2 linked regions of the Diceros bicornis minor genome follow. The protein of the gene in region 2 purifies or fractionates together with the protein of the main gene of each other region. This does not show direct contact. Links are inferred from orthologs where the notes say so. Each region holds a gene or a part of one and is shown on either strand. Other genes may lie near its edges.

Region 1 (7,821 bases), on a different chromosome or scaffold from region 2:
AACTAAGTAAATCTTAGGACCTACTTTTTGAATAGCAACTCATACAAAGAAGTACCAGCAACCAAAAATAATTAAGAGATAATACTAAGGGCCAGCCCAGTGGCTTAGCGGTTAAGTGCGCGCGCTCCGCTACTGGCAGCCCCGGTTTGGATCCCGGGCGCGCACCAACGCACCACTTTTCTGGCCATGCTGAGGCCGCATCCCACATACAGCAACTAGAAGGATGTGCAACTATGACATACAACTATCTACCGGGGCTTTGGGGGGAAAAAAAAAAAGGAGGCGGATTGGCAATAGATGTTAGCTCAGAGCTGGTCTTCCTCAGCAAAAAAGAGGAGGATTAGCACAGATGTTAGCTCAGGCGTGATCTTCCTCACAAAAAAAAAAAAAAAGAGAGATAACACTAACCTTGACTTGTGCCTCTTAAAAATTTTTATTAATGCCATATATTTTTTTAATTTTGAAAACTCAAATTTACAGAAATCTCAAACTTACAGAGAAGTTGCAGATACAGTGCAAAAAATTATTTTTCCATTTGAGAGTAAGTTGCTAACATCCTACAGGTACATTCTCCTGCAAACTAACAAAGCAACCATCAAAACATCAAAACCAGGAATTTAACATTGATACTTTATTACCATCTAATCCTCAGATCTCCATTCAAGTTTAATCACTTGTCACAATGATGCCTGCTATGGCAAATGGATCCAGTCCAGAATCATATATTGCACTGAGTTGTTGTATCTCCTGACAGTCTCCATAAGTCACAGAAACTCTTCTTAATATCCTCTTCTCCATACCCATTCTCTTATTCCCCACTGGTGCTCTGGAGTTTCTCCCTCAATCCCTTCCTCCCTACTCAATGCAAACCCGATACCCAGCTTTCCCCTTCCCACCTGCCTCTTCAGTCCTTTCTCTCAATTCTGTATGACAGAAGCCAGGGAGCCAGGTTGAAGACAACTTGCAGATGAGGAGGTGAGGGCAAAATTCCCCTTCGTTGGTAGGTTGGGGGATTGAGGGGCAAGGCTGAGAATATACATATGGTCATACAGTTTGTTTTGTCAGTCTTTCCTGAGTTTATCTCAATGGCCTCTTGAATTATTCAGAATGTTCCTAAATATCTTTAGTACATATTTACATCTTTTATATAGATCAATTATATCTTGAGTCTCCCTAGTTTTCCTTCCTTTCCTTTGCCTTCCTTTCCTCTTGTATCCTTTATGATACCTTCAGTTCAAGTTACAGAAAACCCAACTCAAACTATCTTAAACTATAAAGGGGATTCATTGGCTAATACCAACTTTAGGGTTAGTTTGATTCAAAGGTCAGACTTCCTAACTCTCTTCTCTACCACCATTACCTTATTTTAAGGCTGTTTAATTTTATACACCTTCTGGAACCAGTAGAACTCCTTCCTGGACGTATATCAGTAGTGCGAACATGCTTATCTCCCAGAGGCACCCAGAATATCTCTTCACTTGTCTTCTTGGCCCAAACTAGGTCACGTGCCCACCTTTGAACCAATAACTGACTGTGGCCAGGAGGTGGAATTATGCAGATTAGTTTAGGTGGATCCAGAGCCAGGGGTGGAATTAGCTTTCCCCAATATGTGGGCCAAGTAGGGGAAGTGTAGATACCAGAATAACAACAGTGATGGTTATCAAGAGAAGGGGATATAATATTGGAGAGAAAATGACATAGTCCACCTTTTCTCCATGTACTGACTACAGTGTGTCATTGAAAAAAAGCACAGAAGTTGAAGTTGGAGACTTGGTTAAACACTAACTTTGGAAATATCTCTGAGCTACAGTTTCTACTTCTGTAAGTTGACAATAATGTAAATGTCTTCCACAGGGCTGGCGTAAAGGCTGAATAATATGGCCATGTAACAGCACACATTAATTTACAAAAAGTTTAAAGACTACAAGTATGTATCTGGCTTTGTGCTAGGTGCTGGGAATCAAAACAGGAATGAGACCTAGGACTTGCCTTCATAGTCCAATGGGGGAAACACACACACACATAAGCAGGAATTTATAATATAATGCAGTGAGTGCAATGAGTAGAAGCACAGAAACCTGCAACCTAATCCAGCCTAAGGCAAAGTGGAAGGAAAAAGGTATCAGGGACAGTTTCTTGGAGAAGGTGAACCCTGATCTGAGTCTTAAGCGTCTTCTTGGGTTGGCCACATGTGCTTTTCTCTTTTCCCTTCCAAAACCCCTTCAAAATAACAATTAATTTATTTAAAACTGGATTAATTAAACAATTAATTTAAAACTGGATTAAGGCCAAGTAGAAGAGTAGAGAACATAAAAGAACACTACAGAGTTCCACAAATTTTTGGAAGATGGAAAGTGGATGGAGGAGTAGTCATTGCTCTAGCCAACTGATGGAAGTTACATCCTAAACTGCAGAGGGGGAACCATTCAGAATTGGGCCAACTCTCCCTGAAGACTTCTGAGAAACTCAGGCTAGCAGGCCTCAGATACATCCTTTTAAAATTTTAGTCACTTAAAAAAAATTTGCAACCCCTGTCCTGACATTTCTTTCCTTATCCTACTTCCTGCATTATTTTCTCCTCAGCATTTATACCTCTTGCCATTTATTTCACTTATCATTTTTATTATATGTCTCTTCTAAAATGAATATAAACTCTAAGAGGATAGGGATTTTGTCAGTTTTTTTTACAGCTGCTTTGTTCTAGCTGGCACATATCAGGCAATCAATAGTATTTATGGAACAAATGGATGGATGGATGGATGGATGGATGAATAGCATAGCACATGGCAGTGAAGTATGGGAATGAAAAAAAGGAGACAGTTAAAATTAGAGTTATGTACTCCAGGTCCAGTGCCCTATTCCATACATTTAGGTGACCTCTCCCCATTGCTTCCACCCAACTTCATGAGATGTAACCACCCCTGCCCCCAAAGAGATTGGAGGAGAAGCTGAATGGTCCCAGATAAAAGACCTCACCTATTAACATTGGCAAGTTCCTCAACGAAAATGCCAGCTCATCTCCTGATTGTTCTATAGATGAGCCCACTAATGAGTCTGAGAAAAATGAGTCTGAGCATTCTCTCTGTGTGTATTTCTCTCTTCTTCAGTACTCTGTCCTGCAAACTCTAGCTGCTTTGTCTCCCTGGACTCTGCTCTGTCTCCTCAACTCAGGGAGTCCACAGGCTTTGCCTGGATTCCCACTCCCTGCACCATGACCCAGAAACTCTCTGACCGCAGTGAGCTGGGACAACTGAAACCACCCACAAAGCCAGAGTTCTATTGAGTGGTAAAATTATGGTAGAAAATGGCCAGATTTATCAAAATCCACTCACCTGGCTCAATGATCTTCTAGGAGGTGACAGTTATGTGACCTGGAATTATGCTTGGAGTAAGGTAACATATCTAGGGAAGGAGCTTTTAAAGTATATTTCTGAGGAAGTACCCATACATCCAGAACCAACCTTGGTAGCTCAGCAACATCAACCTTGCCTTCCAGGAACTTCCAGAGAGTCAATGCAAAGCATCCTACATTTTCTACAAATAAATGAAATACTATTTATCAGCCATCAAGAATGTCTCCCATATTTAGTTATAAAAAACCCAAACCAGGGTCCGGCCCCCTGGCCTAGTGGTTAAGTTCGTGCTCCACTGGCCCGGGGTTCACAAGTTCGGATCCCAGGAGCAGACCTACACCACTCTGTCAGCCATGCTTGTGGCAGCGAGCCACATATAAAGTGGAGGAAGACTGGCACAGATGTTAGCTCAGGGCTAATCTTTCTCAAGCAAAAAAAGAGGAAGATTGCCAACAGATGTTAGCTCAGGGCAATCTTCCGCAGGAAAGAGAAAGAAAGAAAGAGTGTATACTTAGAAGACTGAAGGTAGTGCAGTCTCCCTTCCCGGAAAACCTATCCAAGGGCCAACAATTTTCAAAGAAAAAGTAATTACCACTAATTTCACTGGAGAAATTTGTACCCTTTATGTTGTCAAGACAATAGCAAATACCAAAAAGATGGACACAATGACATCAATAGTTAAAATTAGTTTGCGTAACCCGACCTAACACGGTGGCTTCCTGTTATTATTTGATATGTTCTTTTACCTGCCTTGTTTCAGCTCTTGCATACCATGCAGTTAAAACTATGCACTCAAACAAAATAAACATACTTTATATTTATGTAATTGCAACTTTAACGTAAAAAAATAGTAAAAGTTAAATTCATGAAAACCATGCAAATGACGTATGAGATTATTACTACAAACCAGCAAACTATTGGTATCCTGCGACGACTCAACCCACACCAACCAGCTGAGCCAAGGACCTCGCGCTCCTATCTGCTCGCGAGGACGAAATCCATGGGAAGAAATGCCCCTTAGCTCAGTTAAGGGTAAAAAGTCGAAATCTCGGACCACGAATGGGCATATCTCGAGGCAGGACGCTTGTCAAAATAACATTTATTCCATGTGGGAGGAATGTAAACATTATTTCCTTTTCTGTATTTTTCAAATTTCCACTTTTAAATAGGAGCTAGCCTGGTGCGTCAAAAGTCTAGGGCTTTAATTCTGCCACCAAGTGACTTTCGTCAAATCACGTCCTCATCCGTGAAACTGGGCGTGAAAAGTCCAAATCTCCAAAACCCCCGCTAGTTTTAAATTCCACGGTGAAGCAATCCCGCCTCCTGTAGGTTCGCCAAAGAACTATTATGGCCCTCTCGGCTTGCCGTCCGGAGAGCCTCCGGAAGCAACCCTGAGCTCCGCCCCCTGCGCTCAGGACGGCGCGAAAACCCAATTGACAAGAACTCCTTCCGAAGCCGGTGGGTCCGATCTACGTTCGGCCTGCTTTCCCCACGGGAGCCCCAGTCCCGAGCGCTCAGCCTGGAGCGCCCGCCTCGGGGACACCCGCGCTCACCGGCCGCGCCCCAGGGTCCTCGCTGCCCGCGCTTTCTCACCGCCTCTTCCCGCGTTCGACTCGGCTGAACTGGGCCCAGCCTCCGCCACCGCTCCGGGCGGGTGGCCGAGGGGGAGTCCGAGACCGACCCCGCGGCCCAGCTCCTCGCCTTTGCAGGAGCCGGCCGCCTCCATGGCCTCCAGGCAGGCCGGCCCGGGCCGCGCAAGGTCCTAGGAGCCGGGATTCCGGGAAGCAGGGATTATGGTGGGGGTCTTGGCCATGGCGGCGGCAGCTGCTCCCCCTCCGGTGAAGGACTACGAGATTGAGGTGAGCTTGAGTATCTCCGTCTGTTGGGGGTGGGAGAAAGGTGATCCCGACTTTGGATCTATGAGGGGAAAGGAGGGACATGATGAGGCCCCACAGTTGTGACATTGTGTGGACCAGTTGCTGGAGTGTCTTTTCTGAAAGTGATAGGTCCTGACAAACATTGGGATTGTGAGATGTTTGCGGGGCCAGGTAAATCAGGATTTAAGATATCTCGACCAGTGCCCAGACCCTGAAATGTTGGTGGAACTTGATGTTTTGTACTTGCGGAATGTCATGGAGGATCCCAGGGTCAAGTCTGGGTTCATGATAAGGGATCATAGAACTTTAGCGTTGAAAAGAATCTTTAAGTTCCACTAGTCCATCCATCTACCTATTCTAGGAATACCGTTTAGATTGTCATTTCAGGAATCAACCAAGGTACTTAATTGAAAAATCATTTTCTCACGGCTCCAGAGCTTAAGATACTGCAGTTAGGAGTCTGCTGTTATTTGCCTGTGTTCATCAAGTTTCAGTGAAATGCACTAAGCAGTATTTATAAAGGGATTCTAATGCCATGAAGTAGTGAAGTGGCATCTTAAAGTAGACGATTGCTATATTTTTATACCTTTTCATCTCAAACTAGGATTCTAACTGAAGTATGCATACTGGTGTCCTTGAAGCGAACCAAGATGTATGTCCACTTATTTAACTGGGCTCATTCTTATTTTTTAGAATTGAGTAACTTTTGTCTTCTTGCTAATAGTTGTTATGTTGATACTTGCTTCCTAAATCAAGGCAGTTGCTCAGCTTGTGTCAGGTGTGAAGAAGGACTTTTGGTACTTGAATTACACAGTTCTTGATTTTTGTCAGTTTTATCAATCTTTTCGTTACAGTTTCTGCTTTTGGTGCCTTGCTTAGAGAACCTATTTCACAGTAATAATACTGTTTACTCTTGTAAGGATAAAGGCCTTATACACATTATTTTACTTAATATCAACTCTGTGATGAGGTATTATTATCTATATTCTACAGATGAGAGAGGAAGTTTAAAAATTAATTAAAAGTAAATTAAGTTAGGAAAAGTAAATTATAAAGTTAAAAGTAACTTACTGGGCCGGCCCCGTGGCTTAGCGGTTAAGTGCGCGCGCTCCGCTGCTGGCGGCCCGGGTTCGGATCCCGGGCGCGCACCGACACACCGCTTCTCCGGCCATGCTGAGGCCGCGTCCCACATACAGCAACTAGAAGAATGTGCAGCTATGACATACAACTATCTACTGGGGCTTTGGGGGAAAAATAAATAAATAAAATTATTAAAAAAAAAAAAGTAATTTACTTAAGGTCCTACACTGGTAGATGTCAGAGCTATCACTTGAACTTAGATCTGCCTGACTCCAGAGCCTATGGTATAGTGCCTCTGACACCATCTCAGGGTAATAATAATAACGCTAACTCATTAGCATTTTCTTGTAATACCTTTACCATTTCATCTTAACATATAAAATTTTAATCTGTCTGTAATTTATTTTGCCTTATATTTATCCAAATGGTTAGAAATGTGCCCCAATACCATTTATTAACTACTTCTTTGCCCACTAACTTGAATGGTACTGTTATCATACACCTAGTTCTTAAATATATACTTATGTCTTTTTCTGGTTTTCTAATCCATTCCATTAAATTGTCTCCATATTCATGCATCAGTACTATGCTTTTAATCATGATAGCTTTATAATATGTTTTCATTTTCTGGAAGTATAATTCTCCCATTCATTACTTATCTTTTTTTTGTGTGTGTGTGTGAGGAAGATTAGCCCTGAGCTAATATCCCTTGCCAATCCTCCTCTTTTTGCTGAGGAAGATTGGCCCTGGGCTAACATCCATGCCCATCTTCTTCTGCTTTATATAGGATGCCGCCACAGCATGGCTTCACAAGCAGTGCATCGGTCTGCACCCAGCATCCGAACCTGGGAACCCTGGGCCTCCAAAGCGGAGCTCACAAACTTAAGTGCTATGCCACTGAGCAGGCCCCTCATTACTTATCTTTTGAAAAATTTCCTTGTTATTCTGGCAAGTTTATTCTAACAAATGAACTGAGGGAAGTTAAAATTAAAGAAAACACTGATAGAGCTTTTTGTAACTAATAAGCTTTTTCTGTTATATGTGGGAATGAATAAGAGAAACCACCAAATTGGAGTTGGAAGGCCTGAAGGGGGAGCTCTCATGCCCTATTATATATTGTCAATTACACCAACCAGAAAAAGACCCTGGCTTGCATCTTTGACAGGATGTAAAACTACTTTACTATTGCGGGAAAATTTCTCTCCCCACTGGGCAACAGCCTCAGCCAGTGAGAAACACGGCGTCTCAGCCAGTGAGAAGCCAATTGCTCCCTGAACTGTTTCTTTCCCCCAATTGACTTTCATTTAGAACAGCCCGTCCCTACTCCCTCTTTTTCTCTATAAAGGCAACTCCCTTCCTTTGTTTTCTGGATTTGCCTATGGTTTGCCGTAGCCTGCACATCCCCAGTTGCAATTGTTTTGGCTATTCCTGAATAAACTTGTTCTGAGGATAAAATAACAGGCAAATTTGCTTTTTAAGTTGACATATGTAAGTTACTAATTTATGACCCA
Region 2 (7,161 bases):
TCCAGGCAGAAGATGAGGATAACAAGGAATTATTACATCTTTTGCCTGATCATCTGTCCTTGAGAAATCAAGTCATAAAGTGATCCTACCGTGATCACTTGGCCAGGAGTTTTTTAAATTAGTTGCCATTGTTTAACATACAGGAATTGCACATAAAAATCCAAATTTCTGGTTTCTCTTGAAAAATCAGAAGATCTGGCAACATTTGGCTACTGTCCCTTCTGATTGAACACTCTTGTAGTGGACATGTGTGATCCTTTCGGCTGTCAGCATCTGAGCCCCCATCCTAAGTTTAGGGATGTCCCAGGTCACAAGTCCTGGTGGGAGGAAGACGTCATTTCCCACCATTCAAGCTGTAGACTGGTACGCGCTAGCAGGTGACCCAGGCCTGGCCAATTAGGCATGCTCTTAATGGAGCACTAGTTTTAGGAAGAATCCAGTACAGGAGAGAACTGGCAAATTCCTTCTCACAGTAGAAACGGTGAAACCAACACTCGGTTTCTAGGAGTAGTAGCACGGAAAGGTCGGCAGCAGCAGTTTCCTTACTGGATGGTTCCATGGAGTAATTCTGACCATGGTTTCAGTTCCATGGCCTGTCTTTGTCCCATTTTCCAAACCAGGTTCTCCAGCCTTCCTACTAATTATGAGCTATCCAATATTTCGTCGCTACATTCCTTTTCTGCTTAAATCTTCCATCTACAAACTCCGCCCCCTCGAGGCAGGGCATAATTTCCACCGAACCCTCTTCCTTTATATATTAACTTTCAGACTATTTATAGACATATGAGCCTGTAACTCCAGGCTTTATCTCTCGCTTTCTCTTTAAAGTAACAGAACTTTGGCACTGGGAGAGAAGCTAAGGACCATCTAGCGCAAGGCTCTGCAAAGTAACGAGAAAAGCGTCCCAGAGGCGCCTCCCCCCCACCATTACCCCTCACATCTCATTGGGCAGAACTGGGTCACATGCTCACCCTTTAAGCCAATCAGGGGACTAGGGTTGCTGTGATTGGCTTCGTCCAGGACAGTAGTTAAACTTTCGCTGAATGTTAGAATCACCTGGGAAGCTTTTTAAAATGCCAGTGCCCGGTCCCACCCCACAGGCCAAATTTAATTTGTCTGGCTGGACTTCTGGCATTGGACTTGTTTAAAATCCTCAGGTGCTTTTAATGCCATCCCTCTCTCTAGTCAAGCCCCGTGCCCCTGCCCATTTTAGAAGTGCCAATACTGAGGTCCAAAGAGATATTAAGTAACTTGCCCAAAGGACTATACCTTCAATTAATAGCAAAAACAGAAACAAACAAAACCACACGCATACAAATGACATTTAATAGGACACCTTTGTTTTTCCAGAAAAATGCATGTGAGTATCCTTTCTTTTTCTTAGAAAGTGAAGTCATAGGGAGCTCACGGATTGAGAAGCAGTAGAGGGTAGGACAGTGGTTCTCAAACTTGAGCGCATCAGAATCCCCTGGAGGGCTTGTTACAACACAGATGACTGGGCCCACCCCCAGAGTTTCAGATTCAATGGGTTTGGGGTGGGGAGAAGAATAATTAACATTTCTAACAAGTTCCCAGGGGCTGCTGCTGCTGGTGCAGGGACCACACTAGCACTGGGCTAAGAGCTTGGGCTATAGAATCACACTGTCTTGATAAGATCCAGTTCTGTCCCTTACACCAAGTCAGAATGTGGGCAAGTTACCTAATATATCTATGAAATGGGGCCAGTGATATAGCTTGGAACTATCGCAACAATTGAGTGAGTATAATAAATGTAAAGGACTTACAACAGTGTCTGGCCCATAGTAGCTGCCTAATGAATAGTAGCTATTATCATTCACTCATTCATGGAAGACTTATTGAGTGCTTCCTTTGAGCCAGGCAGTATTCCAGACACCAGGAGTCCAGTGGTGAATAAGTGAAAGCCTCACCTCTCAATGAGGTTACAGTCCGTGGGGGAGGCACACAATAGACGAACTTGTAAATATATAATATAATGTCCCACAGAAGAATTCTGCATTGCCCGCAAACTGAACAGCAGGTGCACACAGAGTTTTATGAGAACTTGGTCCAGTCTGTTCATATCTTCTAGCTCAAGGAGGTGGCAACATCATGTTTCTAATGCAAAGGCCCCTTAGCAGGATGGCTCTTACCAGGGTAGTTGAATAAAGCCCAGGTAATGGCATTTTTAGTCAGGGTTCTCCAGAGAAACAGAACCAATAGAATATATAGATACACAAAATTTATATTTATACTTATATTTATGTAGATTTTAAAATATATTTTATATTATGTATTATACAATAAATATATATTATATTAATAATATATTTATATAATAAATATATATTTAATATTTTTAATATATTTTATATATTCATATTTGTATAGATATTTATATAAGGTGTATATATCATAGGAATTGGCTCACGGAATTATGGAGGCTGAGCAGTCCCATGATCTGCCATCTTCAAGCTGAAGACCCAGGAAAGCTGGTGGTATAATTCAGTCTGAATCCAGATGACTGGAAATCAAGAGTGCCGATGTTCGATGTTCAAAGGCAGGAGAAGATGGATGTCTCAGCTCCAAAAGGGAGCAAATTCACCCTTCCTCTGCCTTTTTGTTCTATTCAGGACCTCAATGGATTGGATGGTGCCCACCGGCATTGATGAGGGGGATCTCCTTTGCTCGGTCTACCAATTCAAATGCCAATCTCTTCCAGAAAGACCCTTAGGGACACACCTCCAAAAATAATATTTTACCATCTCTCTGGGCATCCCTTAGCCCGGTCAAGTTGACACATAAAATTAACCCTCACAGGCATAGTCACACCAGCCAATTCTTTAGATTTTGTTTGGGAGGGAACATTTGGAACAAGAACAGGATGGTGGAGAGTATGTTCGAAGGGAAGGAGAGAGTGAGGTGGCAGTGCATTGGAAGCTTTACGTATGTTATTTCATTTCATCCTCACAACCATCTTGGAGCAGATGTTATTGGATGAGGAGAGAAGTAACCCGCCCAAGGCTGGGGGGGGGGGGGGGAAGAGGCATGCTAAGGATCTGAAAAACGAGTGTCGGAGTTGGCCTGGGAGGAAGCAGAGAATAGGGCACTGTCATACCACAAGCCACATCTCACCTCCTTCTTCTCGGTCCCCAGGCAGGGGCTAGGGTGAAGCCATAACTGCCCTCATGTATTTCCCCAGTGTCCCTCTACTCTGTTCCTAAAGCAGGTGACAGTGATAATAATAAGACGCAAGGAGCTGCGACTTCTGAATCAGAACACTTCTGACCCCAAGGCAGCCTCATCTCCTCCCAGTATTGTTGTCTTTCCCAACATGTTAAAAAACAAAAACAAAAACTTTATTATGGATGTAACACACACTCATTGCCGGGAAACACAGATCAGCCAAATAGGAGAAAATAAAGTGGTCTATAATCCCCTCACCTCAGAAAAACACTAGGATTTTGAGACCGATGCTCCTCAGTATCTTCAGATCCGAGGGACGCGTCCTCTGTGCTTATTAACTAGCGCTTTCCGGTTACCGTATTAACCTAACTGGAAGTTTATTTTTTGTTTTCACTCTGGAGTTGTTTCTGGAGGATGGTTCTCTACATTTTGTTGGGTGAGGGACGCGGATTTGGGAGACGGATTGGAGTTGCGTTTGTTTGGAGTTGTTTTTGAATTCGAATTACTACCAGGTTGGGGGCCAAAAGGTATTGTGAGCCTTTTCTTCAAACGGGCATCCATCTTCAAGTATTGGCCGTGTCATTTGGGGTTGTTTTTTCCTAAGGATTCTTTAGCGCTGGCAGCTTTCTGTTCCTTTGAACGGTGTTTGAACTTTGGTGATGGCTGGACTGGGCTTCGGCCGTGAGACTTTAATTTGTGATGACTGGCGGCTGCAGGGGGTGGCCTCGCCTCGCCCCCTCTCCCTGGGCTCGGGAAGCCCCTTGGCGCGGCAGAGAGGGCAGCACCGGCTAGAAGGGCGGAGCCGGAGGGAGGGTGGCGGCCGGCGCCTCCCGGTAACCTGGCAACCTGCGCCTTAGCAACGGAAAGGGGGCGGGACCAAGGGAGGAAGTCGGAAGCAGGCGGCTAACTCTCGCGAGAGTTACGTTTGCGCGCGAACTCTGTTAGGGTCCCTGCGCTGGATCGCGCTGGTCGCTGAGCAGGTCCCTTGGGGGTCGCGACGACCCCAGCGGACCTGGTCACCCTCGTCTCCCCGCCATGGAGACCTCCGTACACAAGCAGCAGCAGCAGCAGCAGCCCGCGGCGGCCAAGATCAGGAACCTGCCCTGGTAGGAGGCCCGGCTGCCGGGAAAGGGGCTGGGCCGCGCGGGGAGGCGGTGGCCCAGCTGGGCAAGTGGCCGGGCCCGCTGCCCCCGGACCTGCGGCCGGGGCGGAGCCACAGAGGTTCATCTCGACACCCCACCCCGCTCCGTTCTATTTAGGACTTTTGCCGGGTTCCCCACCCACCGATTCCTTTGCCCGAAGAGGAAAGCGGCTTTCGCACGCATCTGCACAAGGGGTCGATCCCGCGTCTTTTGACATTGCATTGGCCTCTGTGCCAAAACGTCATTCCCTCTTGCCAAAATCTTAAGTAAAATAATGATGATAATAATAATAACGCTCCCTAGTTAACTTATTTAAACGGCTTTCTATTAGATTAGCAGGCACCCTATTAGATGTTTGATCTTTACAAAGACCATGGGAGGTAGATACTGTCATTATTCCAGTTTTACACTTGAGGAAACTGTGTCTTAAAGATTAAATGCCTTGGCTGAGGTCCAGAGCTAGAAAATAGGCTTGGGTTTGAACCCAGGAGGTCTGGATTCAGAGCTTGCACTCTTAACCATCCTACTTCCATAGCTATCCTAGTGATGCTTTAAAGACTTGGATGGGATTTGGCTTGCTGTCGGAAAACTCCAAGTTGTTCTTGTCTAATAACGAGTTCAGTTTGTTTTTATCGTGGTTAAAACACATAACATACAATTTACAGTTGTAACCATTTTAAAGTGTACAATTCAATTGCATAAAGTTGTGCAACCATCCCAATATCTCAATTTCAAAAATTTTCATCATCCCAAATGGAAACCCCATACCCATTGACAGTCACTCCCCATTCCTCCCTCCCTTAGCGCCTCCTGGCAACCACTAATCTGCTTTCTGTCTCTATGGATTTGCCTATTCTGGACGTTTCCTATAAATTGAATCATATAATATATGGCCTTTTGTAACTAACTGGCTTCTTTGACTCAGCATAATGTTTTCACTGTCCATCATATGGATATACTACCATTTATTTATTCATTCATCTGTTGATGTATATTTGGGTACAAGTTCAATTTTGAATTCACTTTGAAATAATAGTTGCCCATCCAGGTTGAGATTATAGGCAGACAGCTGGAAAGGTGAAATTAGAAATTACTGACATTTTGGGCCAGATACTTTGTCGGGGGGAGGGCATCGGGGCTGTCCTGTGCATTGTAGGATGTTTAGCAACGTCCCTGGGGCCTATCCACTAGATGCCAGGAGCATCCACCCAGTTGTGACAATGGAAAATGTCTCTAGATATTGCCAAATGTTCCCTGGAGGATAAAATCACCCCTGGTTGAGAACCACTGGTTTAAATTCAAACCTAAAGGGTTTTATTCCTCTTCCTCTTTTAGTGAGGATATGAAAGGATTCTTTTGCACATACCAAAATGTTCTTTAATTTATGTATGTTGTAATCCTTGCTAAATTGTATTTTAGGGTTGAGAAATACCGGCCGCAGACACTGAATGATCTTATTTCTCATCAGGACATTTTGAGTACCAGTAAGTATCCAGGTGACAGCTGCTGTTATTCTAGCCGAAGGACCTGTATACATTTCCTGGTGATGTTGTCTCTACTGAGTAATAACTGTGAAGAATCTGATTGAGCTTTATGGAATGTGGCTTTAAAACTTGAGTCCTTAAGGGGCTGGCCTGTGGCGCAGCGGTTAAGTTCGTGTGTCACATTCCCCTTGGCGGCTGGCATTGCTGGTTCGGATCCTGGGCGCGGACCTACTCACTGCTCATCAAGCCATGCTGAGGCAGCGTCCCACATAGAGAGAGCTACAACTCGACAACTGTGATATACAACTATGTACTGGGGCTTTGGGGAGAAAAAAGAAAAAGAGGAAAGTTGGCAACAGATGTTAGAGCAGGGCCAATCTTCCTCAAAAGAAAAGAATTGAGTGCTTCCCATTTTTCATTCCTGCACCTGCCTCTGGTTTGAACATAGGGCTGAAGTGCATTCAGCCCAACTCGTAGGGCCCACAGTGAATGAGGCAACTCGCAGAGACTGACGGTGTTTCTTTTTCTTCCCAATCCTCAGTTCACAAATTTATCAGTGAAGATCGGCTGCCGCACCTGCTTCTCTATGGTCCTCCAGGGACAGGAAAGACGTCCACCATCCTAGCCTGTGCTAAACAGCTGTACAAAGAGAAAGAATTCGGCTCCATGGTCTTAGAGGTAAATAACAAGATTATTCTTAGTCTATCAAGGACGCCAGCCTCTTACTTTTAGTTCTGCTAGTTTCCTTTTACTTTAAAAGTCATTTGCCCTACTGGCAGTTGGGAAAGAAGCAGACATAACATAAGATATTTCAGTTCACTTTTTTCTATAATTGTCTGGATTGGCATTAGCGACAGGGCAGTTGTAGGGCTAGGCTTTGTTTTTTATTTTTCTTTTTTTTGCTGTTGCCACCTTTTACCCAAACACTTGGTGGTCTGTCAGTTGCTGGCTGTTTCCCATGTGCGCCTCCCGGTAGCTTCTCCACGTCTCTCCGCCCTGTCCTTGCCCCGGGCAGCTGAGCTGTGTTGACTACAAGCTCCCTTGCCCGCTGGCTCCTGGTTGGGTTTGGCCAGTAGAGGCCTTGGCAGGGGTCAGGGGAAGGAGACTAATGCCGGGTCCTGCCCTGGGGGTCACTACAGGCTGGCGGCATCCCCACCTGCAGGGCGCATCACACAGCCCTCCCCAGGTGCCAATATCAGTCCTGCCCCTGACCCCATAAGACCTGGGGGTGGTAATGGGCCCCAGTAGTCCCTGAGGTATCACATAGCCCTTGTGGTTTCCCCACACCCCACCAACACCTTTTAAAATATCTCTTCCTGGGCCGGCCTGATGGCATAGTGGTTAAGTTCAGT

Evidence for each region. The genes of interacting proteins can lie anywhere in the genome.
Region 1: the proteins of RFC5 (region 2) and ATAD5 purify together in Homo sapiens (affinity purification with mass spectrometry; 4 studies listed by BioGRID and IntAct, counting the BioPlex papers as one, with this or other methods). This does not show direct contact. The link is inferred for Diceros bicornis minor from reciprocal best matches to the Homo sapiens genes RFC5 and ATAD5.

Annotation. Positions count from the first base shown.
Region 1 is NC_080757.1:21,094,840-21,102,660, forward strand, and holds the start of ATAD5 (ATPase family AAA domain-containing protein 5), read left to right. Parts: upstream 1-4,783; 5' UTR 4,784-5,146; coding exon 5,147-5,212; intron 5,213-7,821. UniProt on the Homo sapiens protein: Has an important role in DNA replication and in maintaining genome integrity during replication stress.
Region 2 is NC_080774.1:15,032,386-15,039,546, forward strand, and holds the start of RFC5 (replication factor C subunit 5), read left to right. Parts: upstream 1-4,128; 5' UTR 4,129-4,218; coding exon 4,219-4,289; intron 4,290-5,744; coding exon 5,745-5,809; intron 5,810-6,350; coding exon 6,351-6,487; intron 6,488-7,161. UniProt on the Homo sapiens protein: Subunit of the replication factor C (RFC) complex which acts during elongation of primed DNA templates by DNA polymerases delta and epsilon, and is necessary for ATP-dependent loading of proliferating cell nuclear antigen (PCNA) onto primed DNA.